Linked DNA regions of Nothobranchius furzeri. The protein of the gene in region 7 interacts with the protein of the main gene of each other region in a pairwise test. Links are inferred from orthologs where the notes say so. Each region holds a gene or a part of one and is shown on either strand. Other genes may lie near its edges. The genes, in order: cwf19l2, scnm1, leng1, bysl, mfap1, protein FAM110A and trim54.

The links.
Region 1: the proteins of trim54 (region 7) and cwf19l2 interact in binary tests that used the Homo sapiens proteins (3 or more experiments, as listed by UniProt). The two-hybrid records come from large-scale screens. The link is inferred for Nothobranchius furzeri from reciprocal best matches to the Homo sapiens genes TRIM54 and CWF19L2.
Region 2: the proteins of trim54 (region 7) and scnm1 interact in binary tests that used the Homo sapiens proteins (3 or more experiments, as listed by UniProt). The two-hybrid records come from large-scale screens. The link is inferred for Nothobranchius furzeri from reciprocal best matches to the Homo sapiens genes TRIM54 and SCNM1.
Region 3: the proteins of trim54 (region 7) and leng1 interact in binary tests that used the Homo sapiens proteins (3 or more experiments, as listed by UniProt). The two-hybrid records come from large-scale screens. The link is inferred for Nothobranchius furzeri from reciprocal best matches to the Homo sapiens genes TRIM54 and LENG1.
Region 4: the proteins of trim54 (region 7) and bysl interact in binary tests that used the Homo sapiens proteins (3 or more experiments, as listed by UniProt). The two-hybrid records come from large-scale screens. The link is inferred for Nothobranchius furzeri from reciprocal best matches to the Homo sapiens genes TRIM54 and BYSL.
Region 5: the proteins of trim54 (region 7) and mfap1 interact in binary tests that used the Homo sapiens proteins (3 or more experiments, as listed by UniProt). The two-hybrid records come from large-scale screens. The link is inferred for Nothobranchius furzeri from reciprocal best matches to the Homo sapiens genes TRIM54 and MFAP1.
Region 6: the proteins of trim54 (region 7) and protein FAM110A interact in binary tests that used the Homo sapiens proteins (3 or more experiments, as listed by UniProt). The two-hybrid records come from large-scale screens. The link is inferred for Nothobranchius furzeri from reciprocal best matches to the Homo sapiens genes TRIM54 and FAM110A.

The regions. Positions count from the first base shown.
Region 1 is NC_091753.1:35,505,606-35,509,796, forward strand, and holds the start of cwf19l2 (CWF19-like protein 2), read right to left. Parts: upstream 2,801-4,191; 5' UTR 2,745-2,800; coding exon 2,652-2,744; intron 1,783-2,651; coding exon 1,672-1,782; intron 1-1,671.
Region 2 is NC_091745.1:65,775,966-65,780,066, reverse strand, and holds the start of scnm1 (sodium channel modifier 1), read right to left. Parts: upstream 2,801-4,101; 5' UTR 2,693-2,800; coding exon 2,642-2,692; intron 2,511-2,641; coding exon 2,440-2,510; intron 2,358-2,439; coding exon 2,269-2,357; intron 1-2,268. Other genes in the region: lysmd1 (lysM and putative peptidoglycan-binding domain-containing protein 1), read left to right, coding at 3,360-3,539. UniProt on the Homo sapiens protein: As a component of the minor spliceosome, involved in the splicing of U12-type introns in pre-mRNAs. Plays a role in the regulation of primary cilia length and Hedgehog signaling.
Region 3 is NC_091745.1:76,666,511-76,670,746, forward strand, and holds the start of leng1 (leukocyte receptor cluster member 1), read right to left. Parts: upstream 2,801-4,236; 5' UTR 2,650-2,800; intron 2,459-2,649; 5' UTR 2,414-2,458; coding exon 2,282-2,413; intron 1,338-2,281; coding exon 1,155-1,337; intron 242-1,154; coding exon 1-241. Other genes in the region: voltage-gated chloride channel TMC4, read right to left, coding at 3,360-3,452, 3,546-3,624, 3,707-3,862, 3,985-4,115, 4,208-4,236.
Region 4 is NC_091743.1:46,638,541-46,642,573, forward strand, and holds the end of bysl (bystin), read right to left. Parts: intron 1,331-4,033; coding exon 1,228-1,330; intron 1,145-1,227; coding exon 790-1,144; 3' UTR 501-789; downstream 1-500. UniProt on the Homo sapiens protein: Required for processing of 20S pre-rRNA precursor and biogenesis of 40S ribosomal subunits. May be required for trophinin-dependent regulation of cell adhesion during implantation of human embryos.
Region 5 is NC_091749.1:30,004,238-30,008,276, reverse strand, and holds the start of mfap1 (microfibrillar-associated protein 1), read right to left. Parts: upstream 2,801-4,039; 5' UTR 2,686-2,800; coding exon 2,604-2,685; intron 1,983-2,603; coding exon 1,766-1,982; intron 1,687-1,765; coding exon 1,536-1,686; intron 1,444-1,535; coding exon 1,256-1,443; intron 1,176-1,255; coding exon 906-1,175; intron 817-905; coding exon 657-816; intron 360-656; coding exon 270-359; intron 1-269. Other genes in the region: hddc3 (guanosine-3',5'-bis(diphosphate) 3'-pyrophosphohydrolase MESH1), read right to left, coding at 3,540-3,694. UniProt on the Homo sapiens protein: Involved in pre-mRNA splicing as a component of the spliceosome.
Region 6 is NC_091755.1:41,859,566-41,863,518, reverse strand, and holds protein FAM110A, read left to right. Parts: upstream 1-1,153; 5' UTR 1,154-1,289; intron 1,290-2,018; 5' UTR 2,019-2,127; coding exon 2,128-3,396; 3' UTR 3,397-3,599; downstream 3,600-3,953.
Region 7 is NC_091742.1:14,248,914-14,253,087, reverse strand, and holds the start of trim54 (tripartite motif-containing protein 54), read right to left. Parts: upstream 2,801-4,174; 5' UTR 1,912-2,800; coding exon 1,594-1,911; intron 68-1,593; coding exon 1-67. UniProt on the Homo sapiens protein: May bind and stabilize microtubules during myotubes formation.

The DNA.
Region 1 (4,191 bases), on a different chromosome or scaffold from region 7:
TGGATTACTAACATTAACTTATTTTTATGTTGCTGACTGTGTTCAGTGCATTCCTAATTAGTTGTCATTTGCAATGATAGGGAAGTAACCATCTTTTGGAAACAAGAAGTTGTGTTTTTTCCATGCACAGCAATAGCGATGCTTTTCATTGTTGAATTAAAAGCAATGTGACATTTACCTCTGGGGGTGTTCCAAAAAGGGTACTTCACCGTTCGATTCGATTTAGATTATGGGAGCTTCGATGCTTCGATTATAATGATTTTTGGTTCGATTCGATTACTGGTGCCACGATTCTTCGATTATTGACATTTTTAATGCTTTTTTCATACAAGATTGTCTTCTTCTTTATCTACATTTGTAAATAATTAACCTATCAATTAATTCAGTTCCTCTAAAACTACTCTCTGTAAGTAAATACATTTTTTTAACATTTAACTATTTTTCAAAGACAAATTCTTATTTTATGACTGTATGACGTGTAAATATTTGCACTTTGACCAACTTAACTTCGATCAGGGAAAGCTTTACTTACACTAGTGTCCCCTCCATTGTTGGGAAACACTGAAAACAGGCAAGCCCTGGATTTAATGAGGTAATTAATTCAAGTAAACAAGATTTTTACTTCCATCAAATTTATTTAATGGAAACTTATGAGTCTGGCATATGATAACATTACAAAAAAAGCTGCCATACAGATCAAATAAATAAATTCAGCTTATTCAGTCTGGAATATAGGTAACAGAAAAAACCTGCTATATTTGAAGGTAATATGTTGTATTTTTTCAGAACAAAAGTGCATAATTCAACTGAACATATATTCAGCCTGGAGCTTCAGTACAGTGAGGCGAACACAACAAAATCACAACATGCCCTATAGGTTAAAAAAAATAAATTGTAAGTCGCTTTGGGTAAAAGCGTCTGCTAAGCACATAAACAACATAAACAACATAAACAACATAAAATAGAGCAGAGTGACACTCATACTCCCTCTCCTCCCTCTTGTTCCCCTACATCCTCCTGTTGTGTGAGATGGGCAAATGTCAACATTGTGCTACTTTGACTCTCACTCATCTCTCGAGTTTGAAGAACGTGACTCACCAACTTCCACCCGTTCTTGTCCGACGCAAGAACAAAATGCGCCGTTACAGTAACGAAGGATTTGGTGGCAACCGATGTCCACGCATCGCATGTGAGCGCTATCCCGGTTGCCTTCTTCATGGACTCCAGAACGCTTGCTTTGGTTTCCTTGTAGAGGTGGGGGGCTTCTTTTTCTGCAAAGTGTTTTTGGTGAGGAAGTTTGTAGCGCGGCTCCATGGTGCGCACCACTAACCGAAACCCCCTGTTGTTTACTGCTGAATACGGGTGTAGATCCGTCGCGATTACAGTAGCTATTGCTTTTGTAATGCTCCTCGCCTTCTCTGAGTTCTTCGGTAGTTTGGAGACAGTCTCCAAGATGGAGAAAGAGGTCAAAGAGTTAGTGCCACTCACTAAACAGTCCGGGCGGCGCGCGTTAAGGCTCCGGTTACGTTTTTTTTTTTAAGTACCGGCTTCGCAACAAAACTTTGATGTTATGTTTTTTTAAGCATTGACGTTCATTAATCGATGCCGAAACAACATGTTAAGCTTTTAGATGCATCGCCACATCGATTAATTGCACCCACCCCTACTTACCTCCTCTATCTGCTGCAGCCTCTGGTTGACTTCAGGGAGAATCCAAGTATCTTCTCCTCTCAGCCTCTTCAGCTCCTTCCTCCTCTCCTCCTTCTCATATTGCTGCTTTGCCTGTTGGCCCGCATAGAAATATGAACAGAAACAAAATATTACTATTACACATACATTTAGATTGCATCAGAGGACCAATTTACGTGTCCAATTTATGTCTCCCTTCTCATTTTCTCCTCCACATTCCCAGAGATGTAAAAATGTATTTCTGGAAGATCTGCTGGTCTGACATTAATGATAAAACATGTAAACCAAGAAAACAAAGATTCAGTTAAGCAGTTTCTATTTTGTTGACATCTACCTCCTCTACTCTAAAAGGTGAGGTGTAAAGGAGAAGATCGTTTGAAAAGACAAGTTGACAACACTGAGCTCCTAAACCACACTGAGCCATTTCCTCTTTAAAACTTAGCTTCATAAATCAGATCCAGCCACCATTATGACTTTGGTCAATTCAGACACAGGTGAGCTAAATAGATAGTGTGTGTGTGTGTGTGTGTGTGTGTGTGTGTGTGTGTGTGTGTGTGTGTGTGTGTGTGTGTGTGTGTGTGTGTGTGTAGCTGCTTAGCAGAAACAGATAACATGCAACTGTAAAATTGTGTACATAAGTGCTGACAACCTGCTCTAATCCAAACACTCACTGGGCATGGTAAATAACTGAGACAAATACAACACAAATTAAAGGCAGCTCTGCTATCTGTCCGAGTCAGTGTTTGACTCGTAATTTCCTGTCCGGATACATCTTCAAGGTAGTACACATCAGCAGAATGATATACAGATATGATGTACCCAAACGTTAAAATGCTAGCTGTTAGCCTTCTTAGCGTGTTAGCTTATACTCAGAAACTCGGGGTACGATTTAAACCGTAACTAACACAACGAAATAGCCTTTTGTTACACGTGAATCTTGCTTTTCCAAAGCAAACGCGTACCTTTTCTAGCACCTCTTCTCGCGACTGCCTCTTTTTCTCTTTCTTTTCGTCGATGCTGCTCGAACTCTCAAAACTAACACCATACGTCGCCATGACACCGTCGTGAATGTTTTGTCAACTGTCGTAAAGCAACGCAGTTTACGTCAACTGAGGACTTGTGGCTCATAGTGCAAAAGGACCAAGGACAGGCGCATCAATTTAAATAATATGAAAAAAAATATATATATTTTCTTATAGAACTTAAATAATATATTTACTTATAAAATATTATAAACACAACTAATATATCTATCTATCTATCTATCTATCTATCTCTCTCTCTCTCTCTCTCTCTCTCTCTCTCTCTCTATATATATATATATATATATATATATATATATATATATAATGTTCTAAAAAAATTTAACGGTCACCTCTGTTAAAAAAAAGTCTTGGAGTGAGATTTTCTTTATTTAGTGTGTGTGTGTGTGTGTGTGTGTGTGTGTGTGTGTATGTGTGTAAAGCTGCTTAGCAAAAAAAGATAACATGCAGCTGTAAAATTGTGTTCATAAGTGATTACAACCTGCTATAATCCACACTGGGCATTTGGCACATTGTGTTTAATACATTTTGCCTGTGTCTTTTCACTTTATTACACATAAATCAATTAATTGACTTAAATGTTTAGATGTCTTTGCATGAATTAAATACTTGAGGTGATGTTGACATGTGGTGGAAAGTTTGTGTCAATAGCCCACTTAGAAAAACCATTACTGATAAAAATGCTGATGTGTCAAATACTTATTCTCCTCTATTTGACTTTGATGTGATGTCTATGTGCTGAACTGAAACATTGGGACAGCAGTAGCTCAGGAGGTAGAGGGAGTTGTCCGGCAATCCGAAGACTGCAGGTTCGATCCCAGCTTCAACCAGAGAATGCTGCTGTTTTGTCCTTGGGCAAGACACTTAACCCACTTTTCCTGCTGGTGGTGGTCAGATGAACCAGCAGCACCAGTGTTCAGCAGGTCTTGCCTGTTAGTGTACCCCAGGGCAGCTGTGGCTACACTGTAGCTCATCACGATGTTGTAAAGCGCCTTAGGGGGTTGTAGAACCCTAAGAAGGTGCTATACAAATACAGGCCATGTACCACTGTGTAAAAATAAAAAAACTGAAGGTATGTGAATGCAATCAGATCTGTCACTAGGTACGAATCATACATTCTGGTTATTATATTTAGAATGCAATTACATATATTAAAGATGTTCCCCAAATCCACAGTCACATCAAGTAATGACTGCTAGGGAAATGCAAAATAAAGGCACAAGAAATTGTTTTGTCATATCCAAGATCAATTTTTTATTTCCGGTCCATATTTTAAGCAACTGATGCACCCCTAGATGTACTGAAACAGTAACAAGATGACCAAAGTGCCAATTCAGAAGCGTAACTATTGCTCTGATGGATTAAGAGATCTTCAAATTTATATCACTACAATTAGAGCTTCTTCAAACACAGCAACTCATTTAACTTAGTAATTATTTAATTGGCCAAGTCTGCATTT
Region 2 (4,101 bases), on a different chromosome or scaffold from region 7:
GCCGTTACGCTTTTGGCCTGAGGGGGCAATCGCGAGCATAAAAATTCAAAACTCCATAAAGTCCCTTTAAAGAGCCTTTGAATCGCTCGCCTCCTTAAAAAAAAGCCCTCCTCCCCTTTTCATCTAATGATCGCAGTTAACAGGAAATTCTCCAGAATACTGCAGAAAGGTAAGTCTACTGTGAGCATGCGTGTGCACTTGTTAATGACTAATTTTTCGACAGAGAAACTCCGACAGCGCACGCAGAGGGGGTTGAGGGGAGTGCTGTCTATCACTGCCTCTGAGTCGCTCTCTTGGTCCACCAGGTGACACCTCTTTCAGAAGTGTTTTCCTAACAGGAAGTGTGAATGAAATAAGTCCCCACCCATGCCATGACTCCCACTGTAACTATAGTACAGTGGTGTAGCGATGTTAATATCGATAATCAAAACAAGCTATTAACCCCTTTTTAGTATGCATTTTGATATTTAAAATGCATCACAAGTTGCATATGATTAATTTACAGCTGTTAATTCTTTGTTGCTCAGGTTTTTAAACACTTTTTGGTATACAAGTAATTATGGATTGTTTTTGTTTTGTCTTTTCTAATACTGAAGATAATTAGGGCCACTGAAGAAAAAAAATTTAAAAAAAGAATTCTGACTTTAACTCACTAACTGCCAGCCGTTCTCCAGTGGCGTGTCCAAGCTCTTTAAAATGGGGTGGCCCAGGTGGGGCACTTGTTTATGCACGAGTGGCCCCTATGGTTATTGTATTGTAACCCTAAGCCTTTTGTGGAGAATGTAAAGTCAATTTATATGGAACTCGGTGGGGTGGCACCTGGGATTTCAAGGGTGGCATTTGCTACCCCAGGGCACTCCCTGGACACACTCCTGCCATTCTCTGATCAGAAAAGCCCTTCGCAGCCAGCGTTTTTCAGTGTTTCTACTGTTTCTTTAAGAGTCAATGAACGTTGTGCTCTAGGATGATGTCAACGCCAAAACTAACAAAACGAAGAGTAGACTCACCTCTTACATCAGGCAGAATCAGGGTTCATTTCAAGATTCTGGTTCTGGTCTATAGGGCCTTACATGGACAAGCACCATCTTACATTGGTGATCTTCTTAGTCCCTACACCCCCAGCAGGTCCCTGAGGTCCAGTGATCAAAGCCTACTGGTTGTGCAACGCACCAGTCTAAAGACCAAAGGTGACAGATCATTTGCTGCTGTGGCCCCCAGATTCTGGAACTCTCTCTCTCCTTGAGCCTGAGATCAGTGGACTCCTTTAAAAAGCAGCTGAAAACTCACTTGTTCAAGCTGGCTTTTGTATGGCCTTCTTCAACCCCTCTCTCTTTATTCTGCTCTCCCCACCTATTCCACCTTCCTCAGGATCCACTGATTTCCCTCTTTCCTATTCACTCTCTCTTTCTTAAAATTGTTTTCTTTTAAATCCCAATTGTCTATTTTTGCTCATTTGAAATAAATTTTTAAACATTTTCTAAATGCTTTTTTATATTTTTTACATTTTTTTGTTTTTGTGAAGCGCCTCGTGATTTTTATCTTGAGAGGCGCCATAGAAATGATATTTTCTTCTTCTTCTTCAGAATCTACATGTTTCGAGTGTTATCCATTCTTACATAATCTGTAGTCGAACTGTGATCGGCAGAAGCTTTTCCGGTTTGCGCCTCACTTATTTTTTTACAGCTGTGGCCCAAAACGATCTCCTAACACATGGATTTTCTGCTTCCTGATCACGTGGCGTGTGACGTACACGAATGAAGATCAGCTTATAGCTGGAATGTTTGTTCTCACGGTGCGGGGGCTCGTTCCGACGCCCACATAGTAAAAAAAATGCAAATGACGACTTTAGTCGTCAATGGCAGTTAATGAGTTAATCTCTGATTTCTGGCATTTTTCTCAGAATTCTGACTTTTTTCTTGATTGTGACTTTAATAATTCTGAGATTAAAGCCAGATTTCTGAGGGGAAAAATCTGATGTCTTTCTTTTCATATGTTTTATTTTCAGTGGCCTTAATCCTCTTCCATACTTTAACTCAGGGTGAAGTTCTTGGATTTTGAGTAAAAACCACGTGCTGTTGTTTTAATGATTTGTAATAAACAAATTGATCAGACTGTATGTTCTATTGTCTTCCCACAATATCATCAGATACTTTCAAGTGTTTCTTTGATGTCAGACAATGTAAGAAAATCATAACACCTGACTTAGAAAAGTTCTTCCAAACCTCATCCCTTACCCACAGGGAATGACACATTTAAGCTCACTTTTACCTTCTAGATGCTTCTTCCCTTGCCTGTGGACGGTCAGCACATCAACCGTATCAAACACGGGACGGTAGGAGCACACCAGACAAGTATATCTAAAAAACCACACACGTTTTCAGTTATTAATGTAACAACATGTCTGTTTCTTTTCCGAACGTGAGTCAAGCCGAAATTCACCTTCCATTTTTCAGCAGCGCAGCTTCGTCTTCAGGAATAAAATGAGACAGCAGATCGGCCACACGCCTTTTCTGAAAAATGTCAACAAAGTTGAAATAGTGAGTGCTCCCAGGACAGGAAGCTAACAGGATGCTAACATGATGCTAACTACACAAACGTATAATATTTAATGAAACAGACAACGTATAAAACAATATTTAACCTTAAGAATGTTGAGTTGACTCTTGTCATTCCCCTCTCTTTTAAAAGACATTGCTATGACATATACTCTTAAACTGAAGTTGGAACCAGATTAGCTGCTTTTTGTCAATGCTAGGCTAGCCCTGCTGATGCGTTCACAGAAGAATCGACGCATGGGAAATTCTAACCTCCAAATTTAGAACGGAGTTCAGCTTTGAACTAAAGTGTGCACAAACATTTCTGAATCATATCCATTATTTGTCGCTCATAATTATCATTAAAAAAGACTGCTCAAGTGCAGAAACAGTTTAAACGTTAGGTACTCCTAAAACGAATTCGAACAACTTTAAAGTGATTTCTGTTATTCGTATTGTATTAAACGCACCGTTTGTTAAGAATCATGTGACCAGCCCAGGCAGCCATGGCAACCAGCGTAGCTGCTACTGCTGCTGCTGACTTCACGAGATACGAGAAAATGCTAACAAGTTCACGATAACTTTTCAGGTGTGTAAAATAGGTTTATCATATAGTTTAACGGGGTTTTTACATCAGAGGCCCTGTGTGTGCTGCAGGTGCTGTATTGCTAAGCTTAAAATAGCAGGTTTAAAAAGGAAAGAAGCTTGAATAGTTGGGTCGTGTGCTAGTTCTTACATACATGTTTCTCTGGTAAAAGCTAAAGTTTACAGCTCTCTGTATTCTGCCGCACCTTGGACGGGTTTAAACACAAATGATACACCAAAATGTCCGGGGAGCGAGAGCCATCGCCTCCCGGGAGAGGGGGCCTCCTTCGCGGAAGCCGAACCAGATCTTACGGCAGTTTGATCCGACCTTCACAGTCTCCGGTTCGCCGCAGAGTCGTGGAACATGTCGTCCAACCGGGAGAGACTTTGCAGGGCCTGGCCCTTAAATACGGAGTGTCTGTAAGTACAAACTATTTACATTTTAAACAACCTATTTTAGTTAGGCTTACATTTTTGAGTCTCTCTCTCTCTCTCTATCTCTCTCTTTCTATATATATATATATATATATATATATATATATATATATATATATATATATATATATATATATATATATATATATGTGTGTGTGTGTATATATATATATGTGTGTGTGTGTATGTTTATGTTTATTCATTTCGCAGACACTTTTATCCAAAGCGACGTACAAGTTTTTTTTTAATAACCTGTAGGGCATGTTGTGATGTGTGGGGGAAACCGGAGTACCCGGAGGAAACCCACGCATGCATGGGGAGAACACGCAACTCCACGCAGAAAGGCGAGTTTTGAACCTGCGACCTTCATGCTGCGAGGCAACAGTGCTAACCACTGCGCCACCATGCATATATATATAAAGGTCCTGGGTTTGCTTCTCGGCCTGGGATCTTTCTGCATGGAGTTTGCATGTTCTCCCTGTGCATGCGTGGGTTCTCTCCGGGTACTCCGGCTTCCTCCCACAGTCCAAAAACTTGAGTGTTAGGT
Region 3 (4,236 bases), on a different chromosome or scaffold from region 7:
TCCTGTTTTTAGGTACTTTTCGTTCAAACACGTCTAGAGCTTTCTTCATTTCGTTCAGGGGATCCAAACTACTCTTCAGCCTCCGATCCTTCTTCTCTTTCTCCTCTTCACTTATTCCCTTCTTTTTGTCTTTCTCTTGACTTTCTTTGTCTTTGCTGCTCTTCAGGTACCACGGAGTCACCTCAGAGCCTGGCTGGGGTCCTAAAGACACCAGTAGGCCGATGGCGCGTTCCTGCTTCTCCTGGATGAGAAGATGCAGATTATATTTAAACAAAGGGGTTTTTGAAAACAGGGTATCTGCAGGTTTAAGGGAGACAAATTTAAGACTTTTTAAGACCTTTTTTAAGGCCACTTTGACCAAATTTAAGCTATTTAAGCAAGGCAGCGGTAGCTCAACAGGTTGAGCGGGTTGTCCAGTAATCGGAAGGTTGCAGGTTCGATCCTGGCTCCGGACAGAGAATTCTGCTGTTGTGTCCTTGGGCAAGACTCTTAACCCACCTTGCCTGCTGGTGGTGGTCGGAGGGACCGGTGGCGCCTGTGCTCGGCAGCCTCGCCTCTACATCGTAGCTCATCACCACCAGTGTGTGAATGTGTGTGTGAATGGATCAATGATACACTGTGGTGTAAAGCGCTTTGGAGTCCTTCCTCTGACAGGCGCTATACAAGTGCGGGTCATTTATCATTTAAGCTATAATTTCCAGCTATTGCCTGGAACCGGTGCTAACCACGCCGCGATCATGGGATTAGCCATCCAGTTACCATTAAACTTGCCCTTCCCCATGGCGCAAGCTCCCACTAGCTTAACCAGCTAACGTGCTCATCTAAAAATAGCCCCCTTTCACAACCAACTGAACGTGTACGGTTCCGCTTACGGCAACATCGTACACAAAAATGCTGAACGCTAACTAGAAATTCATGAAAATTTTATAGAAATAAAAGAATCTTGTTTATTGGGTCTTTGGTAATTTAAGACCTCTGGAAACTGTATTTAAGGATTATTTGTCATTTTTAAGGATTTTTAAGGCCTTAAATTTGGAAAAGCTAATTTAAGACTTTTTAAGGACCCGCGGATACCCTGGAAAAGGTGTTACTGAAGCAAATATAAAACCCCAAAAAATAAATAATCCACACATGTATTAAGGTTTTTCTGTCACCTTTTCCTCTTTCTTTTCTTTAAGATACTCCTCGTTCCCCTTCTTCTCTGAAGACTCCTCCAAAGGGAAGAGGTTGAGGTGCTCCAAGCCTCCTCCACCTTCCTTTTCATCATCATCATCTCTGCTTCCTCCTTCTGACTGAAGAGCAGCTCGAGATTTCCTTCTCAGATACTCTGTACGCGCCTGTAGAAACAAAAAGCTGTTAGAATAAACTAAAGATATAAATAATAAATAGTTATTTTGGATTGTAAGCAAATGCAGCTGAAGACATAGGACCTAACTGAGCTTTTGCAACAAGCTGAAAGCAACTAAATCCTAAATAGCACTGTGTAAAGCAGATTATTTGCTAAATTATACAACTTTGAATTATGTGTATCGTCTGGGACATTTGACAGTGGTACTATTGTTGTGGCTCTTTATTGTAATAAAGTTACTCATGATAAAGTGCTCTTGCCTCATATGTGCACGCAGCGGTTTAGATAGAATCAACGAGGAGAGAGAACGTGACGAAGCTCAGAATGTTTTCAGTTTTTCTTATTACTGAAATCATTGCTGCGGTTTTAATCTACATGTGGCATTCAGATTGTTTAACATCTATAACCTTAACATTTCTACACTTTTCCAAACTCCAAACATCCACCTGACCTTCGTGTGACTGGTTCTTTTGTCTTTCTCCCCAAAAGACATTTATTTCTGTATTTATTTAGTTTTAAATGGTCAGGATTAAAATCTGTGAAACTCTTTTGTTTACTTTTGATCATTTTTCCAGAACTAATTTCTTAAATATTTCAATTAAAGTGCCAGGTACCCTGTACATTCGGCTGATTTGTGGTTTTTCTATGCGTTACAGTTGTGTTGCACTCAAATACATTTTCCACAGTAGTAATGATACTTATATCGCTTATTAAGAAGAAGAAGAAAATATAATTTCTATAGTGCCTCTAAAGATAAAAATCACGAGGCACTTCACAAAAACAAAAATGTAAAAAAATAAAAAAGCATTTAGAAAATGTTTAAAAATATATTTAAAATGAGCAAAAATAGACAATTGTGATTCAAAAAAAATGTTAAGAAAGAGAGAGAGTGAAGACTAATGAATGACCATGCTAACACCAGAGGGGGACTACCTCTTGCTCTGCTCGCTCCACGCGACGCTTGGCCTCGCGCTCCTCTTCTGCTGCCTGGGCTTCATCCCTCCGCACGCGCGCAATGTTGTCCTTGTTGCGGACGTGCCAACTCTTCTTCGGGAGGATGTTCATGGTTGCCTTGGTGACCGACAATTAGCAGTCAGCTAGCTTAGAAAGCTAACGACAAGAGAAAACACTCACTCTGGTCAGTTAATATATTGGTGTATAGTAGAAATAAGCAGGTTATTCGACAAAATGTCTAAATACAGAAGCAGAATTTTTCAAATACGCCCAACAATCAAATATGCGTCGCTGTTTTCTTTCTTTTTAGGAAATTAAGCTAAATAGGGAAGGTCGCTAGTACTTGCCAATGTTTTGTGATGACGCAGAAGAAAATAACGTGGACCTTACTCACTCACATTATCTATTTAAGTTGACTACTTTCCTAAAATATAATAAATGCTATCAATGACGAGCTAACGGAGGAGTAGCTTCTGGTTTGTTGCGCTCACAGGAAGTAGTAGAGTTAAACAGGAAGTAAACAATAATCGTGTTATGTAATTACAATATGTAACACCAGGGGGCGCTGAAACTCTACTGGTATTTGTACAGGTGCCACAAAAATATTTACCGGTATGTCCCAAATATATATATTTTTTGCTATAACCAAAAGATGTCAAAAACAATGTACTCATTATGAAAGGACAAAAAGGTAAAGTATATGTTGGCTTTGGAATGTAGCATTTTGTGAAATGCATGCTCTTTCTTGTTAGCATTTTTGGTGATTCTGCACCCGAGGTTGTTTTATACAAAAGAAAAATAGCCTCTCAAAATCATAAATAAATTCTGTGCATGTTTATTAATTCAACACTAATGTTTAGAACAACAATCAAAATTATACTGACTTTAAATAACAAATTCTCTTATTGTTTCAGCTTCACAACAGAAACGCTGTAAATGAATATAGTAATTGTCAAATGAGATCTAGTCTGGATTAATGAGATTTCTCCCCCCCAGAAGACATATTAGTTACTTCATTATTTAGGTCAGAAAAACTAAACGTGGTCATCGGTTGTGTTCAGTCTTGTACTTCTGCTCTTAGTGCTGGCATCAGATGTTGCAGCTTTAGTCTTTCAATCTGTTTGACCAAAAACTGCTTATCTTGACCCTCCTGAAAATCAAAGACATGACATTGGACAATATTAGCTACCACTGAGGATATTATACAAATGATCCTTGATCTTTGTAAGTAGGAACAACATACCAACTTAAGCTGAGCTTTGAGCATCTCAACACTTTTTCCATAGATGGAAGCTAATGCTACAAAATAGCACATAATCACGCTGGCAGAGAGGAAAAAAGGCACTGTGATAATCTGTAGATTAAATCTAATAAATAATAAATATTTCACAAATGCACACTCACCATGATAAAGCAAAAAGAGGTATGGAAAATGCCTGTGAGCCAATGAAGAAGAGAAAATCCTGTGTAACTTTAGAGAGACAGTAGAAAGAGTTTGGAACAATCTTCCACATGGAGGGGAAGAAGCGGAAAGGCCCACACGCCATCGAAGGGTTGATCCTGTTTGGAGAGGTGGAAAGAATCCTTCTTAAAGTGTTTAGTGATGCCCTGACTGTTCTGACTTTCTAAAACGCTGTTTTGTTGGAAATATTAAGGATAAATCTGCAGCAGTCAGCACTCACACAGCAAGGCTGTAAATCATAACAACCAGGGCCAACGTCCAGCCAAACAGAAGCACCACCAGGAAAAAGAAGGTGGAGGTGGTGGACCGAAACGTCTTCAGCGCTGGCCGACAGTTGTGGAAGAGTGTGATCTGTGGACACGCAAACACAATATCATCACTAATACAAATAATTATAATGTATGTGAGAGGGAAAAAAACAAGTTTTATGTTAAATTCTTCACCTTCTTGCAGTAAAAGAGGATGACAAATT
Region 4 (4,033 bases), on a different chromosome or scaffold from region 7:
AACACGTTCCCATCTGTAGTTTTGAAAATTTATAATTTGGCAAATATGTTGATTTAAGTTGTATTTATGTTCATTTTTATCATATAACATTTTCTCCAATAACTTTTTCACATTTTCAAAGAAAATTAGATATAATAATCGAATTATAATCAAAAAGGCTGAATCATAACTTCAGTAATAATTTGTTCCCACTGACGCCCATCTGCCATCTTTAACTGGAATTTTTACAACCAGCTCTGTAATGACACATTTTGTTTGTGCAACTTTCATTTCTAACTCTGCAAATTTTAGCACGTACCCTTTGCTCCAGAAAAAACATCTAGAAAATCATTTTTGCTCCATGTTCATACCTAGAAATGTGCCTCTCAATTCCGCATTTAATCTTTGCTATAGTGCTCCTAATAAATTAAATACTGAGTTACCTTTCTCAGAGAGGCCTTTTCACATACTCCATGTTTCTGGTTAGCGAATGTTAACTATAAATTAAAATCAACAACCAATTTATGAGGTATAATTTGGTTTTTATTCTGACAGGTTTCAGAATTACGACTTTAATCCGAAAGGAGTTTGTGTTCCCAGGCTCAGAGACTTGTGTTACCGTTGTGAAACTGCAGCTACATCACCACTGGTGAGAGTCTCACTTGTGAAAACAAGTCAAGGCAGAACACAGAAAACATCTCTGAGGTCCATAAACAAGTTTAAATTCCTCCTTGTATATGAACAACAGCAAAGTCTGTTTTGTAAAGAGGGAACATGAATGTGGAGAATGGTGCACCACATCAGACTGAATCAGTCCATTTCAACCATTATAGGGAGCCCGATTTCAGTGTCTCTCGACTCAGAGTTTTGTAGCTCCCTGCGAATTTCTGCAGAAATCTGCGGGTGTGTTTGTATCTTGAGCAGCTCCATCAGCGCTGCCTTCTGCTCTGAGGCCAGGTCAGCCTTGTAGCGCTGGGCCAGGGTGAGCAGACTCTGATGCCACAGCACAGGAAGAACACGTTTTTCGTTGCGGAAAGACAGGAAGTGGGCCACCAAGGCATCTAGAACACGGAAAGGCAGGGCGTACTTTTTGTCAAGCAGCAGACGCAGGAAAATGCTGTTGGCACCGTTGTACTCCATCTCTGCCAACTTAAGCATTGCAGCGCTGAAAGAAAGGACAGATCACACAAGTTATGTAACAGCAGACTTGATTTAACACATGTGTGTTTTTGTGTGAGGAGGTCCAACCTGGAGTGCAGCACAGGAATGGAGCATTTTGTGAGAATGCTCCCGATGATGATGGCTTCCCTCAAGGTGCATGTCCCAGACTCACATAAAGGAATCAGGATACCTATGTTATAAGGAATCAGGTATTAAACGCACGCTTCAGTGATGTTTAGAGCAGCATATATCATATTATCACAATGGTACATGACTTGTTTACAAACCAAACAATGTAAATGAGTCTTTGTGAGTCACAGGAAATGGGAAAATCCCTGAAAAATGTCAACCAACGGAACTCGGTTTGTTTTAAATTTGCAGTTGCACAACCATAAGTAGCGCAGATCAGGTAGCAGCTAAAGTGTCGCCAATTATACGTGACACTCATCAACAACAGTGGAGGCCGTAATCAGAGCTGTTTGTAGAGCGTAATGCAATGGATACGTCAGAGATGAAACAATATCTGTGTTTTTAAAACATGATCCTGAAACACTTTAAAGGAGGAGGAGTGATGGGAGGCTGCCACACCTGCTACAGGTTACAACGCAAAACAGAGCCTCAGGGAAAAACATCAGTGGAGACAAGGAAGGAGAATAAGCTCACTTTTAGCTTATATATATTTTATACATCATTAAAATTATGTGTTAATTATCCTACCTGTTCATTTAAATGTGTTTTTTTTAGAATTTACTCTTATTTCTACATTCCATTAGACTGCTTAGTGCTCCATGTCAAACTCTGATGTAGGGACAGGCCGCTATATTGGGCTGATATATACCACTTTTATAGAGCCAATTTAAAAACGGGCACATCTGTGGGCAGCCCGGCGATGCTGCCAAATTTTATTCAAATGTATACTTACAAGGGATGCACCAATATGACATTTTAGGGCCGATACCGATATTAATATCCCTAATATGGCAAATACTGATACTGATTGTGAAATTATGCAAGCTGAATTTTTGAATGTTTTTTTCTATAAAGTGCAAACTAGATATTATATATATATATATATATATATATATATATATGTGTGTGTGTGTGTGTGTGTGTGTGTGTGTGTGTGTGTTTACAATATTATATACACACCACACACATTTACGCTTCTGAGATGATTACCATCACTGTCACATGAATAAACAATTACAGATAATCACCCCTCCTCCCTCTGAAACAGATGCACAAATGGAATCATGTTGGAAAAATAATCGGTTGTTGATATTGGCCCAGTTTTATTCGTTGGACCAATGTGATATGTTAACAGATGACTAACATCGGCCATACCGATACTGACGCAGACATATCATGCATCCCTAATTTTACGTTCCTGACTAACAAGTGCTTGATAAATGCTCAGTTATATGTAATACTTGGTCAGTTTATTGATGTGTGACTCTGGTTTAATGTTTCATCCTAATACTGATCAGTGTACAAGATTAAGATTCAACAAATGGTTAAAATCAGAGTTCAAAAACAGTTAATGATCTATATTTGTATAGCTCCTTATTAGGGTTCGACAACCCCCCACGGCGCTTCACAACACAGTCAGTCATCCCCCCATTCACACGCTGGTGATGATGAGCTAATTGGAGCCACAGCTGCCCTGGGGACCTGTCCCCATGACCACCACCAGCAGAAACTGATTCAGGTTCAGAAATGTTGAGCATCAACAGATGTTATTAGTGACAATTTAGGATGCAGATATGTTAGAAAACGTCTAGACATCGGCCATGAAAATCAACCCAAAAAACAGGAGCACATATCAGCCATAACTGACCGTGACCTCTACATATGAGCATCAGTATCGGCAATAGAAAAACCATATCGGTTTATCTCTATAGTCTGATGTTTACAGCTTCATTAGTTTAGATGAACACACAGAAATCACATTGTGAAAGTTTCATTAAATTTGCTTTGATATGACCAAGATTGATTTACTGAAGCTTAAAGAGATCTTTACCATTTTGATTTCAATGTCAAAGTGATCTACAGGTCAGAGGATTTCAGATAAAACTCTTACAGGTATTTTAATAAACAACAAACCTTCTGCTGGAGCTTGAGTTTGAAACAATACATTAATTATGGCTCAAGCTTCATTAAAGGTGTTTAACATACACGCATGTCTAGTTATCCTTTAAGATCTGTGTCAAATGTTTCAGTCAGTAGGATGGAAGCTGTAGTGGGTGAGAACTGGAGTTAGTTTATCATCTACCACCATTTATTAGTCTGAACTGTGGATGGAAAAACACCCATCACTAGTTCCCAGTATGATGGATCTTAGAGCAACACTGCCACCTAGTGTTTAAGGCTCAAACTGAAGTTATTTTGAATTCAGGTCATGGATTGTTAAAGTTAAAAGTTAAAGTCCCATTAGATGTCACACACACAGGTGTGTGTGCGAAATTTGTTCTCCGCATTTGACCCATCCCCTGGGGGAGCTGCAGACACAGCTGCACTCTGGAACTATTTGGTGGTTTAACCCCCCAATCCAACCCCTTAATGCTGAGTGTCAAGCAGGGAGGCATTGGGTCCCATTTTTTCAAAGTCTTTGGTATGACCCGACCAGGAATCGAACCCCTGATCTCCCAGTCTCAGGGCGGACACTCTACCACTAGGCCACTGAGAAAGGGTAGAATAAAAGGGTAGAGAACAGGAGAATGTTCCCTTCAAACTGCAGGGATTTGTGTTTTCAAACAAATGAAATCAAAAGAATGTTTTTAAACATCTGATTCCACATATAAAGCTTAATTTGACCTATTAATTAACACTTTTATCCAGCCAGAAAAATGGTGTCACTCCTTCAACAGACAGCAGCTAATCCTCCATTAGCATC
Region 5 (4,039 bases), on a different chromosome or scaffold from region 7:
ATGACATATCGGCATCAATATCTATGTTTTACATATCGGTATCGGTCTGATAAGGACAACTGGACCGATATTAACTGAATATATATAAAAAGAAAGACGTCCAAAATTTCTGCTTACATAACTTTAAGTCTCCATAAAATCTGCTGACTTCAGAAGCATAAATGTCAGCCTGTATATGTCGCATCGACAAATATCGATTATCAGCCATAACAATATCGACATCAGCCCAAAGTTTCATTTCGTTGCACCCCAAGACGAAAGGGTCTCACCTGCATGACTTTGGGTAGGATGGTTTTGTTGAAGTGATCCTCCAGTGTAGGAGCGCTGAAGTCTCTCTTGTAAACATCCTCCTCCTCATCCTAACACACAAAAACCACACAATAAATCCCTACACGTATAACCTGTTGGTGACCCATCACAAACGATCACCTCCTTCAGAATCTGGTGGGATTTCCTGTCATTTACAGACATCTAAATAATAAAGGTGTTATAAGAAAGGGTACGCCGTTTTTATCACACAATAATTGTCAAAGAAAAGACACTGCAGCTGTAAATGAAGATTTTAGGAAAATCTCTTGGTTGTCTTAAAAATTTGCTTTTTTATGAATCCTGGTGACAATCCCGTGAAAAGGACTCTTGTGTCTGCTGGGACTCACCATGAAGAAGGCTCCTCTGTGGTAGTATTTCTGCAAGAACTTGTATTTGCCTTTGGAGGCTTTGTTGGTGACGACTTTGCCGCTGTTGCGTAGCTCCGCCCTGCGTTCCTCTTCCGTCATATTGTGGAATCTGTCAATTTCACCCTTCTCTCTCTCCATTCTGACAACAAAACACCACAAATGACCGTCCTGAAGAGAACTGCATCACTCTTTCACCATAAATCCTTTGGAATCCTGCAGTTTACTTACGCTTCCCGGGCCTCTCGGTCTCTCTTGATGCGTTTCAGCTCTCGGACCTTCCAGGCTTCATATTCCTCCTCTTCATTCTCCCCGTCAGTGTCCAGAGCTTCCAGTGCAGCCAGCGAGCGCCGGTTCTCTTCAAACTCCTTCTTAGCCTCCTCCTCAACAATCTTGAGGGTGTAGCGCCGCCGATCCTCTGCCTGCCTCTTGGCCTCGGCCTCCAGCTCTCGCTGCTTCAGCTCCTCGGCTTCGCGCTCTGCCACAGTGACTCTGTCCTTTCTGCAGTGCAAAAAAAAAACATTTGAGCTAGTGTTCTGAATCTGGAATTTTTATTGAAACATTTTTAGTTTAGTTCTCACTTGCGAATAAAAACAGGCTTAAGTCTCGGCTCTGCTTCATCCTCACTGTCTGTGTACTCCTCATATTCTGACTCCGACTCAGACTCCTCTCCTGACTTCCCCTCCTCCTCCACCTCCATCACTTCCATCTCTTCATTTTTCCTCTCCATTGCACGCTGGCGCATCATTGCTCGCCTCCTCTCAATTTCCTGGTCACAAGCACGATGAGCAAATTAATAATTTGTTCAAAATGCAACAAAAAAGTTAAAAGGATTTTATTTTTTTGGTGCACAATTGCTACCTCATCATCCACTTCTTCCTCCTCTTCCTCCTCCTCCTCCTCTTCATCGTCGCTGCTCTCCTGATGCTCAGGGTGCCATGTGCCTTCATCAGAGTCCTCACTGCTCTCAGCAACAACTTCAGGCTCTACGATCTGTCTGTGTCTTGCGAGCCTGAGCACAAACAAACGGGAAACATTTTGACTCAAAATGTTGACAGAATTTGAGTTTAATCAGAAAAACTGAGTGATACCTCTCCTCCACGTCCTCAGAAGTTCGATTGAGCAAACGTTTGAGACGTGGGTCATTCACATCTTCTTCCTGCTGCTCTACCTCCAGCTCCATTTCCACTCCCTTTTTAGCAAACTTGAATTCCTCCTCCTCTTCATCTGACGACTCCATGGGGGCATAGTCTGGACGTTTACCTGACACATACCTCTTCACCTTCACCTTCTCCATGGAGATCTCACCTACATTGTGTACAGAAAAGGGCATGATTATATACACTTCCTCAAGCTTAGTACAAGAGTATTTAAACAGGAAAAAACACTCAACCATAAAAAACGTAAAACAATATGTTGCAGATTTATTTAAATTAAATCAGACAGATACAGCATACCCCTCGCCCTTGGGAGTAATAAAATGACCCCAAAACTCAGACGTAAGCTTAAAACAACGAGTTAATGTCTCAGACAAGCTCTTATTAGGTAGACAGATAAATGACGTTACAAAAGCCCATGAATACTTTTAAGGGACTTAACAGATGACTTATCTAACACGTAAAAAAGTTGAAAAGCTATTTAAAATATATTTTTTCCAGTTGTTTATAAACATTTGTGTTGGATCATCAAAGATCTTGAATCTTGTTTAAAAAAATGTAAACTGTCAGTTGTTCCTCCATTTCTAGATTTTAAACTGTTACTCCCACCACACACACACATTTTACTCTCTTAAAAAACCAACATCACAAAATTGCTTTTCAGCTTGTTTTGCTGAGTAATGAATTAGTTATTTAGAAACTTAACTCGCGTTTTTTGACGCTACATAACAGATGCTACATTAGCATGGAAGCTAACCCTAACACGATTCACCTTTCTCATTCCGGATGGGCACGGCTCCTGCCGTGGACTGGATCGGTGGGAGCTTCATGTTGACGCTTTCGTGACTAGACATGACTGCCCGGTCAACAACACAAAACTATGGACGTGAAATAAAAGGATGTTGCGCTTAGTCTCAACAATCTCTTGGCTGCTTCGTTTCAAAACCGGAAGTTGAACAACTTCCGCGAACGGACAGGAAGTGCATTTGTTCCGAAGAGAAAAACCAAAAACTCAAGAATCAAATGAACAGGAAAGCGTCTCACATTAAATTGTTTTTACAAAACTGACATTTATGCATTTTTATAAACGTGTTTTCTAAATGACCATCAAGCTAATTAAAATCGATTAAATTGTAAATTGTAAATCACCGCCCCTTGGTGGTTTTTATGTTTCATGCATGATAGGCCTTCAAGTCAAGCTTTTTTTCATTATGATCAGAAACCCGATTTCACCCTAACAAATATAACCAACATCAAACATTCCGTTTTTTTTTTACAAAAATGACAGGCAGCTTAACAAACTACATTTCTTCTGCTCCAGGCAAGTTCAATTTACTAGCACAATAAATAAGTGCACGCCCTGACCCTTAACAGAGTAATAGGATGGACTGAGGTTGGCTTGTAACTTTGGCATCATGGTTTATTTAAAAACAAAAGGCTAATCTGACTGACTTTCTAATAAGCAACTCTTCACTTATCTAAAAAAAAAACTTTGTGTCTGTGTGAAAATTATTTGAAAGGTTTGATGACAATGAACCAGACTTATAAAAGAAATGTCATATGTTTTTATTCTTTTAATTTTCTGTTCTGGTTTGCATGACTTTAAAAATTTGACAATAATACAAATGACAGTGCAGCAGACAGTACATTCACACTTCTTTCTTTTTTTTCTGAAGCTCACTCATAAAGGTGCATTTGAGTTGTCATTTTAACAGTATAGACGTGTGGCTTTGCCATCAGAGTTGAATGCCTCTCTGAACAAGTCCTCCAGCTTCCCCTCCAGGGCAGAGTTAGTTCCTTTCAGGCCTTTCACCACCTCAGAGGCCCAAACAAAGTACTCCTGGACCCGCTCAGTGTTCCAGCCTGCCAGGCAAACAAAAGGTAGACAACATGATAAACACCATTATTTAGGGAGGCAATAATTAGAGAAGCAGCTACAATAAACAAGTCAGTGTAGGTAGTGATCAGAGCAGATCAGTTTACGTGATAACACAACACAGGGTCAGGTGACTGAAACAAAGCAACTGCAGTGGGCAGGTCTACGATTGGCATTCATGAGTCTGACCGTGGAGGGGAAGAAACTGTTCTTGTGGCTAGCGATTCTGGTCTGAATGGATCAGAGCCTCCTGCTAGGTGGGAGCGAGTATAATGGGCCATTCCCATCTGTATCGGGTCAGCCTGGGCCGGGTAGCGTAGGTTGTTTACATA
Region 6 (3,953 bases), on a different chromosome or scaffold from region 7:
ATAACTTCAATAATTTCACGCTGATGAACACATGAACATAATCCTGTTTAGTGGATGCAAATACAACATGAAGTTAGCTTAACATGATAGATGTTTTTTCTTGGAAGGAAATAATAACTGGTAATATTATGAATGACATGATATCCCCCCCCCCCCCCCCCCCCGGAATTACAATTAAAACATTTACATTAATTATAATTAAAAGTTCCATTTGTGACATGTAGCTGTAACTCTACTGCAGATATAGATAGATAGATAGATGGATGGATAGATGATAGATAGATAGATAGATGGATGGATAGACAGATAGATAGATAGATAGATGGATGGATAGACAGATAGATAGATGATAGATAGATAGATAGATAGATGGATGGATGGATGGATGGATGGATAGATGGATGGATAGATGATAGATAGATAGATAGATGGATGGATAGATAGATGGATGGATAGATGATAGATAATATGAAGAAGTTCAGGAGAGTTGGATGTTGAATTGTCCTCACGAAAAGAAAATTTGTATTAAACAAAGGTCAGTTCCCTCTAAAGTCAGAGGTATGGAGGATTAGGGCCACTGAAAAGAAAAGAAAGAGAATTTGGACTTTTTTCCCTGAATTCCCTGTCAGAATTCTGAGATTAAAAGTCAGAATCTGAGAAAAATGTAAGAATTCTCTTTCTTTTCTTTTTTCTTTCTTGTCAGTGGCTCTAATCCTCTTCCATACAGAGTAGAAATAATACCCCCCCCCCCCCCCAAATGGCCAGCGACTTGTCCGCTCCCAACCCCATGACCCCGTCTCACTGTTTGAAATGTTCAAAAGTTGGCAGCCCTGTTCTGTTCCGTCTGAGGTAAAACTAACATTCACCCTGAAGGAGAACACCTGACCTTTGACCCTAATTCGTTTGGACTGGTGTGTCTCACCCTCTTCAGAAACGAGACTGAATGTTGTCTATTCGGGCTTCCTGAGACAAGACAAAAAAGGGTCAAAGAAAAGAAATACGCATTAGTAATCAGATTACAGAACGAGACCGGAAGCGTGACCTTTGGGAAGGATCCCAATCATTCAGCTTGCTGATAGGGCAAAAACAAAGAGAGCGTCACGTGGCCAGAGAGCTTCGGCTTGCTTCCTTGAAGGAACCTGATTGGTCCAATCATCCAAAGGGGCGGAGCTTCGAGCAGCACGCGAGTTGTCAGACAGGTTTGTCTTCTCGGCTTGAGCTGTTTAGAGGTTTCAGACAGTCTCGCTTTTGTCCTCACAAACTCCTCAGGAGCTCCTCCAACCACTCAGGTGAGAGCCCGGTAGGGCGAAGAGTAGAAGTAGGAGCAGGAGATAAGTTTAAACGGTTATTTAGAAGGTTCCGCACGCGCCTTGAGTTAGCTACCTGTTGTTTACCTGTCAGCGTTTCCGTGTTAGTCAGAAACTCCAGGAGCCCGCTCCTGGTGGTCAGGGCCGCCTCCTGAGGTTCCCCCCTGCCTCCAACCCTCCCAGGAACACACTGGTTGTTGCTTTTGTTCTGGAGGCCTGCAGACCTGAAGGCAGGTGAGGTGACGTCCCACGGCTCGGTCCGCAGGAGCCCGGGCCCGGCTCAGACAGGAATGGGAGCTATGTGCAGAATTTTCCTGGCAGACGGCTCGGGAGGCCTCCCGGAAGTTTCAGCCTCTCCAGTTTGTTTTTGTTTTCATGGATCCCAAATGAGGCGTGTGTGTGTGTGTGTGTGTGTGTGTGTGTGTGTGTGTGTGTGTGTGTCTGACAGCTGGTCCTCTGATTCACCCCATCACCCTCCTCACGGTCCCTCCTAGCTGCAGACCAAGTGTCAGTCTCATTGTGTGCCAAAAGATGGATGACTGAGGAATTGTTCTAATCCGACTTGCGCCGCCAGCCAATGGACTTGGAAGTCTGGGGGAGTACGTGGGAAGCCATTGGCTGGGAGAGTAAATAAGTGGGCGTTGGGGTTTCGGGTCTTTTGTGCCGTGAGCAGTCCTTTCTGCTCCCCTGACTGATGTTTGTTGTCCACAGGGAGCCCAGATGTCCAGGCTGAGCTGCTGAGATGGCATGAGGATGACGACCGAGATTAAATCCAGGTTTTATAATCTAAGGTAGCTGAAGGACAACTGGAGCTGACACCATGCCTGTGGAGACGATGCAGCAGCCTCCACGGCAGCCAGTGAGGGCTGCCGTCGGGGTTTCCCCTCCGCGTCTACGACCCAAGGGACCAGATTTCTGCAGGAGAATCGCAGCAGGAGCACCAAAGCAGAGTGCCGTAGAAAGACTGGAGGCCGACAAGGCCAAATACGTCAAGAGTCAGGTGGCTCTTTCCAGAACGCAGCCAGTCGGGCCTCCTGAGGTGAAAAGGCCTCTGCTGAACCCCAACACACCCCTGCGCCCCACCAGAAAGCCCAACCTCCAGACTGGTACGAAACCAGAGGGCGTCCAGCTTGACCTGGAGCACCTTAGTCACCTCATCAGTGATCTCCCAGTTGGGCCAACGCCTAACTCAGCGTCCCAGTCAGAGGACTGTAAGGCTCCTGGTGGTGCTGTGACTGCACACGGTTCCCTGTTCAAAGCTCAGCCGATGACGGACAAGCCACGCCCCCCTCCACGTCCCCTTCTGCGTCCCGACTGCTCCAGTCCAGCTAAAGTCAGACAAAAGGTACCTGCAGCTGCCGGGACAGAGAGTCCAGGTTCTCCTGGGGCTCCGGCTGCAGGAACCGTACGCAGAGTGGACGTCATGCCTCAGTTTGGCCCTGTGAGGACGGCCTCCAGACCCCCCCAGTTCATACGGCAGCCCCTCCAACCCAGACCTCTGATTTCCCACGTACTGCTGCGCTCAGCGTCGTCGCACCAGCGCGTCTCCCAGCCAAAAGCTGCTCCGGGTTCTTCTCCCTTGAAACCACTTGTTGCTCCAGTAAAACCCGACCACTCTAACCCACCTCCCGCTGACGCTCCTGCACCACTGCCCCCCACCCTCCCCGATTTCCCACTTCCTCCCCCCTCTCCAGCCATCACCCGTTTGTCATCCTCCAGCTCCAGAAAGCGTCCGTCATTGACTCGGTCCAAGTCCGACATGAGTGACCGGTACTCCCGGGCCGGGACGGAGCTGGAGCGCTTCTTCAACCTGTGCGGTCTGGACCCGTCGGACCTGCGTGAGCTGGCTGCTTCCAGCTCCGACATCGTGTCCCTCGCTCGCTTTCACAGCGTCAGCGCTCCGGGATCGGAGTGTGGAGGCTCGAACAGAGGGGTCAAAGAGGAAGAGGAGGAGGAGGAAGATGCCGGGAAAGCTGCAGACCGCGTTCCCTATGGGATTTCTGTGATTGAGAGGAACGCCAGAGTGATCAAGTGGCTCTATGGGCTAGGGCAAGCCAAGGACGACACAACCAAGAACACTAATTTATAGATGGACCGTCTGAGTTTTATTATGAAAGGGAAACTCGTTTCCTCTTTCAGAGTAAAAGTGGCTGCCCAGGTTGTTGAGTAAACCGGTGAAAGGCTGAATGTGAAGAGTCATCACCGTTGGCTGTGGTGATGATTTCCGCCCACCATGTTTCAGCGTGCGCGGATCGTCCTGTTGATAAAAATTACATTAAAGAATTCACTCAAGCTCTTTGTTTGGTCCTCAGTCATCACCTCAAACATAAAACAACGCACTCAGCATCAGCAGGTGTGTTTTAGGACACCTGAGACCAGGGGCGTGTCCAGGGGGTGGCCTGGGGTAGCACATGCCACCCTTGGAATCTAATTGGCCACCCCAGGTGCCACCACACTAATTTACCTTCAAAAAGGCTTTTCATTGTCCACAAAAGGCTTGGGGGTAAAACAAAAAAAAGCATAACCATTGGTGCCACCCATGCACAAAGTTGTGCCTCACCTGGGCCACCCCATTTTAAAAGATCTGGACACGCCACTGCCTGAGACCCACACGAACGGGAACTTCGAGTTTTAGGCGTCTCTTGA
Region 7 (4,174 bases):
GGCATGATGGACAGCGGAAGCGTCCGCTGCTGGAGGAGCCTCGAGGCTGCCACAGAGGGTTGGTGGCCTGGTTGAAGACAAAAACTGGTTTTCTTGGATTTTTGTTAAAAGACATTTTATCATTTATCTTAATGATAAACAGGAGGCTGTTTAATGGGTTGAGGTTAGTCAGCTGGAGTCATTTTTAAAACGATGATTCTCAGGAACATCTTATACGCTTTCTAAGTTTATTACATCGACATATGTCGATGTAATAATAAATATATATATGTATATATGTTTATTATAACAAATAATTTATCTTTAAATCATAAAATGAAAACAATTAAAGGAACCTTCACTCATATCAGCATTGGAGGACTAATTCAAACGCTTTCAAGGTGATTTAAAAAAAAGTGTTTTTCAAATAGTGATCTGACTTTTTCACCACAACAAATAAGAGTTATTTTTTTATGTTTATGATTTTATGGCTGTTTATGGTGATAAATAAAACAACAAAGCTACAATGATGTGTTAATATGCAGAAAGGCACCCTTTTGTCTGAATCTGCTAAAATGAGCCTTTTTAGGGCCTGTAGCTTGGAATTAGTGTTACCATGGCAACGCTTTTAACAAACAGCCACAATAAAAAGCACCTCGAACTTGACGGAGCTCAAATACAAGCATGCACCTGCACACACTGTGCATCACACTGACTGGCTCGGTTGGAAGAAGTGGTAAATCACTTTTAATGACAATTTGAGTTACCATGGCAACAGTATTGCCAAAATATACATTACAAAGCAACTCTAGCTAAATGTAGTTGCTCTATGTCAATACCGAAGATGTTTATGAAGTTCTTTGCACTAAATCTCTCTCACATAAAGCAATTTCAGCAGTTTTATCATTTTCAGTACTTTCCAAAATGAGCCATTTCAGGGCTCTGTCACTTTGAGAAAACATTGCTGGCCACACCCACCAATTTCCTGATTGGTCCCTATGAGGTGAGGAGCTCAAATATCCAACAGGGGCTCAGAGTAGAGCTGCCGCTCCTCCAGAGTCGACATGTGAAGGTATTTCTATGCTTATTTGCCCATTTTTGAAATCACAATCTGGGACTTCTTGATTTTAGGCACGTAATTCCTGAAACCAACGACGGACAGAACATGGATGGATGGGGTCTTCCTGCCTGGACTGTTTATGGAGTCCGTAGACTCACGACGGCGCAAAACAAATGCAGAAGGTGAGTTTTGCATAATTTGTCTCCTTTAAATCAATCATCTATCAGAGAAGGTGTTTGCTGCTGAAGTTCAAACTGAGCATCAGAATAGAGATTTACGGTGGAATGTTGTTAGTACCAGGCATGATGGTCTGATCTACCAGGATTTGAACCCACAACCATCTAGGGTCTACAGAGGCTGGTCAGACTGGTTCTTGATGATTGAAAGACAGCAGTGGTTCCTTTAGGACCACACCAGCTGCTCCAGGTGGACTCCAGCAGCAGACGACCACACCAGGTGTCAGCTAAGAACATGAAACTGAGGGTAAGTCCCACAGGATCACCAGAACTGGATCAGGGGTTCTGATGAGTCTACCTGTTGATCTTCATGCTCACCTGCAGGACGTCGTTGGCACACCCACGACACAGGTTATGCTGGCAGGGCAGGATCACCACAGGTTTAGAGAACATCTCCAAGCACACGGGGCAGATCAGCTGTTTCTCCAGGTTCTCCATCGTGGTTTTGCTACGGGTACCGGGCTCAGAACTTCCAGGTGTTGGAGGTTTGAACCCAGAAGCAAAGCTCATTGCCTCAGATGGCGAACAGGTAAAGATTCTGCTGGCGTTTGTGAGATGTTTGGTTTTTATTGTAGATGTGACTCTATTCTTCCCCCTCTGAAAGCCCGTCTGGCTCGGATTTACGGACCCTCCCATCAGATATTTTTAGCTCTAGTGTTTGTTCTGGATCGGGTTTCTGGGAGCTCCGGGTGTGGCAGGAGGGTCACCACTATCAGAACTCTCTGTTGATGTTTCCATGAAGTCCGACACCTCAGAGAAGATCCTGGAGACACGATGACAGACGTTCCTGGTTGTTAACACTTCAGATGATTCCTTAAACCCCACAGCTGATTCCTGACTGGTCCCAGTTAAACCAGCCCACAACTCACTTCCTGTTTGCTCAGATTTGGGAGAAAATAGTAAAATCTTGTTGTTTTTTTTGTTTAAATCCTGAGTTCTTCTCCTGAACTGACTCAGAAGTTTTATTTTGTTCATAATTTTATTTTTTTATGTTTCAAAGAAAATCTTGAGTTCTCTGTGAATGGTTGTCATGACAACACGAAGAGTTCATTTAGATTCCTGCAGTGATTAACAAGATTATCTATGAGATGTAATGCTACACGGCATCATATCTAATCATCTTTGTTCTGAGAACGTCCAGCTGATCAGAGCCACAGACATCCTAAAACAACTCTGACTCAGTAAATTCATTTTTATCTTTTGTTTTCCTCTTAGGAGACGCTAAAATTAGCTCTAGAATGTTTGATGGCGTCACTCAGGAGGATGAAAATAAAGCAGGACGAGATGCTGAAACAGAAACACGAGACGCTTCCCTCGACTGAAACAGCTGACAGGATCAATTTAAAGTTTGTTTTTATTTAATTTGATGTCATCAGGAGGAGAAATTAGTTTGTTTCTCTGAGAGAAACAAAGAAATGATCAGAGGAGATGGAGAGTCTGGATCTATCCCAAACTCAGACAGCTGCTGGTGTTGTAGGTGAAATCTGAGGTGTAAAAGGTGAACAGAAAGGGTGAGAGCGCCGTACCCTGTGGAGCTCCAGTACTGCACACAAAGGCACACTTGGCAGTTTTGCTTACCTTTAGCACCCCCTAGTGTACGTATTAATTATCTTTGGTCAAATCAATAATCAAACCTATCTTCTTGCTGTGCATTCCTCTTTTTAAATGGACACTTTAAAACTTTTTCATACTTTTAAATTATTTTCTTGAGCCAATGCTAAAATAACCCTTTACAGGGTTAATGCCCCCATCACCCCCTGTGGTCAGACCATCGTGTTCCGGTCTGTTGGGACTTAGAAAAAATTGAGCTGACCTACCGGGCGCTGCTGTCTGGTTCCAGCATGTTTTCGATCATGAACACAGCTGATTTGTTTCGTTTAGTGATGACTCACTCCTCTAGACACTTAGGAACTCTGGGAGACATTTTGGCTGTTAGATTAAAGTGTTAAAAAGAAGAATGCACAGCGAGATTGGTTTCGCTTCAGACTATAGGGGGTGCTGAAAAGCAAGCCTATTATTTCTTTAACGCATGCCCCCCCCCCCCCCCCCCCCAACTTTTTCCAAAGTCAAGTTTTGACCCCTGCACTTTTTACCATCCAAAGACAATATTACGCTATATTAAGTTGACACTGGTTGAGCTCTAGGACCAAGCAGAAAACAACCATTGTGTTGAAGCCTGTTTCCCATTAGAACATACTGTGAAGACCCCCCCCCCCCGTGTCCCCCCACTTCTAAAGTGAAAATTATGTCCATGGTTGTGAGTCATCACTACATCAACAAATCAGGTGTGTTCATAATCTAAAACATGCAGGAAATGTGCTGGAAGCAGACTGAAGCACCAGGTATGTCAGCAATTTTTCCCCCCAAGTCCAACAGGTGCCCAGCAGTCCGAAGTTGAAGGTCTGAGCGGCATTTCATTAACCCTGTAATGGATCATTTTAGCACATACTGACTCAAGAAAATTATTTAAAAATATGAAAAAGTTACATAGTATGGCTTCAAATACAGAACAGAAGGCAGAAAAAATATAAGTTAAATAACAATCTTCACTGACAAACCATTTTATATAATAATTTCATGGAGGAGGCCATCGGCTAGCACACTGCTCTGTGTGTGTGTGTGTGTGTGTGTGTGTGTGTGTGTGTGTGTGTGTGTGTGTGTGTGTGTGTGTGTGTGTGTGTGTGTGTGTGTGTGTGTGTGTGTGCTCTGTCTTCTCCATCCCCAGTGAGTCATGGTGGATGGCTGCTTATACTGACCCAGGATCCTCTGGAGGTTTCTTCCTGTTAAAAGGGAGTTTTCCTCTCCACTGTCACTAAATGCTTGCTTAGTATGAGGATTGCTGTAGTTTTGGAATGTTTACTGTGTGAAGTGCCTTGAGACGACTCTTGTCGTGATTTGG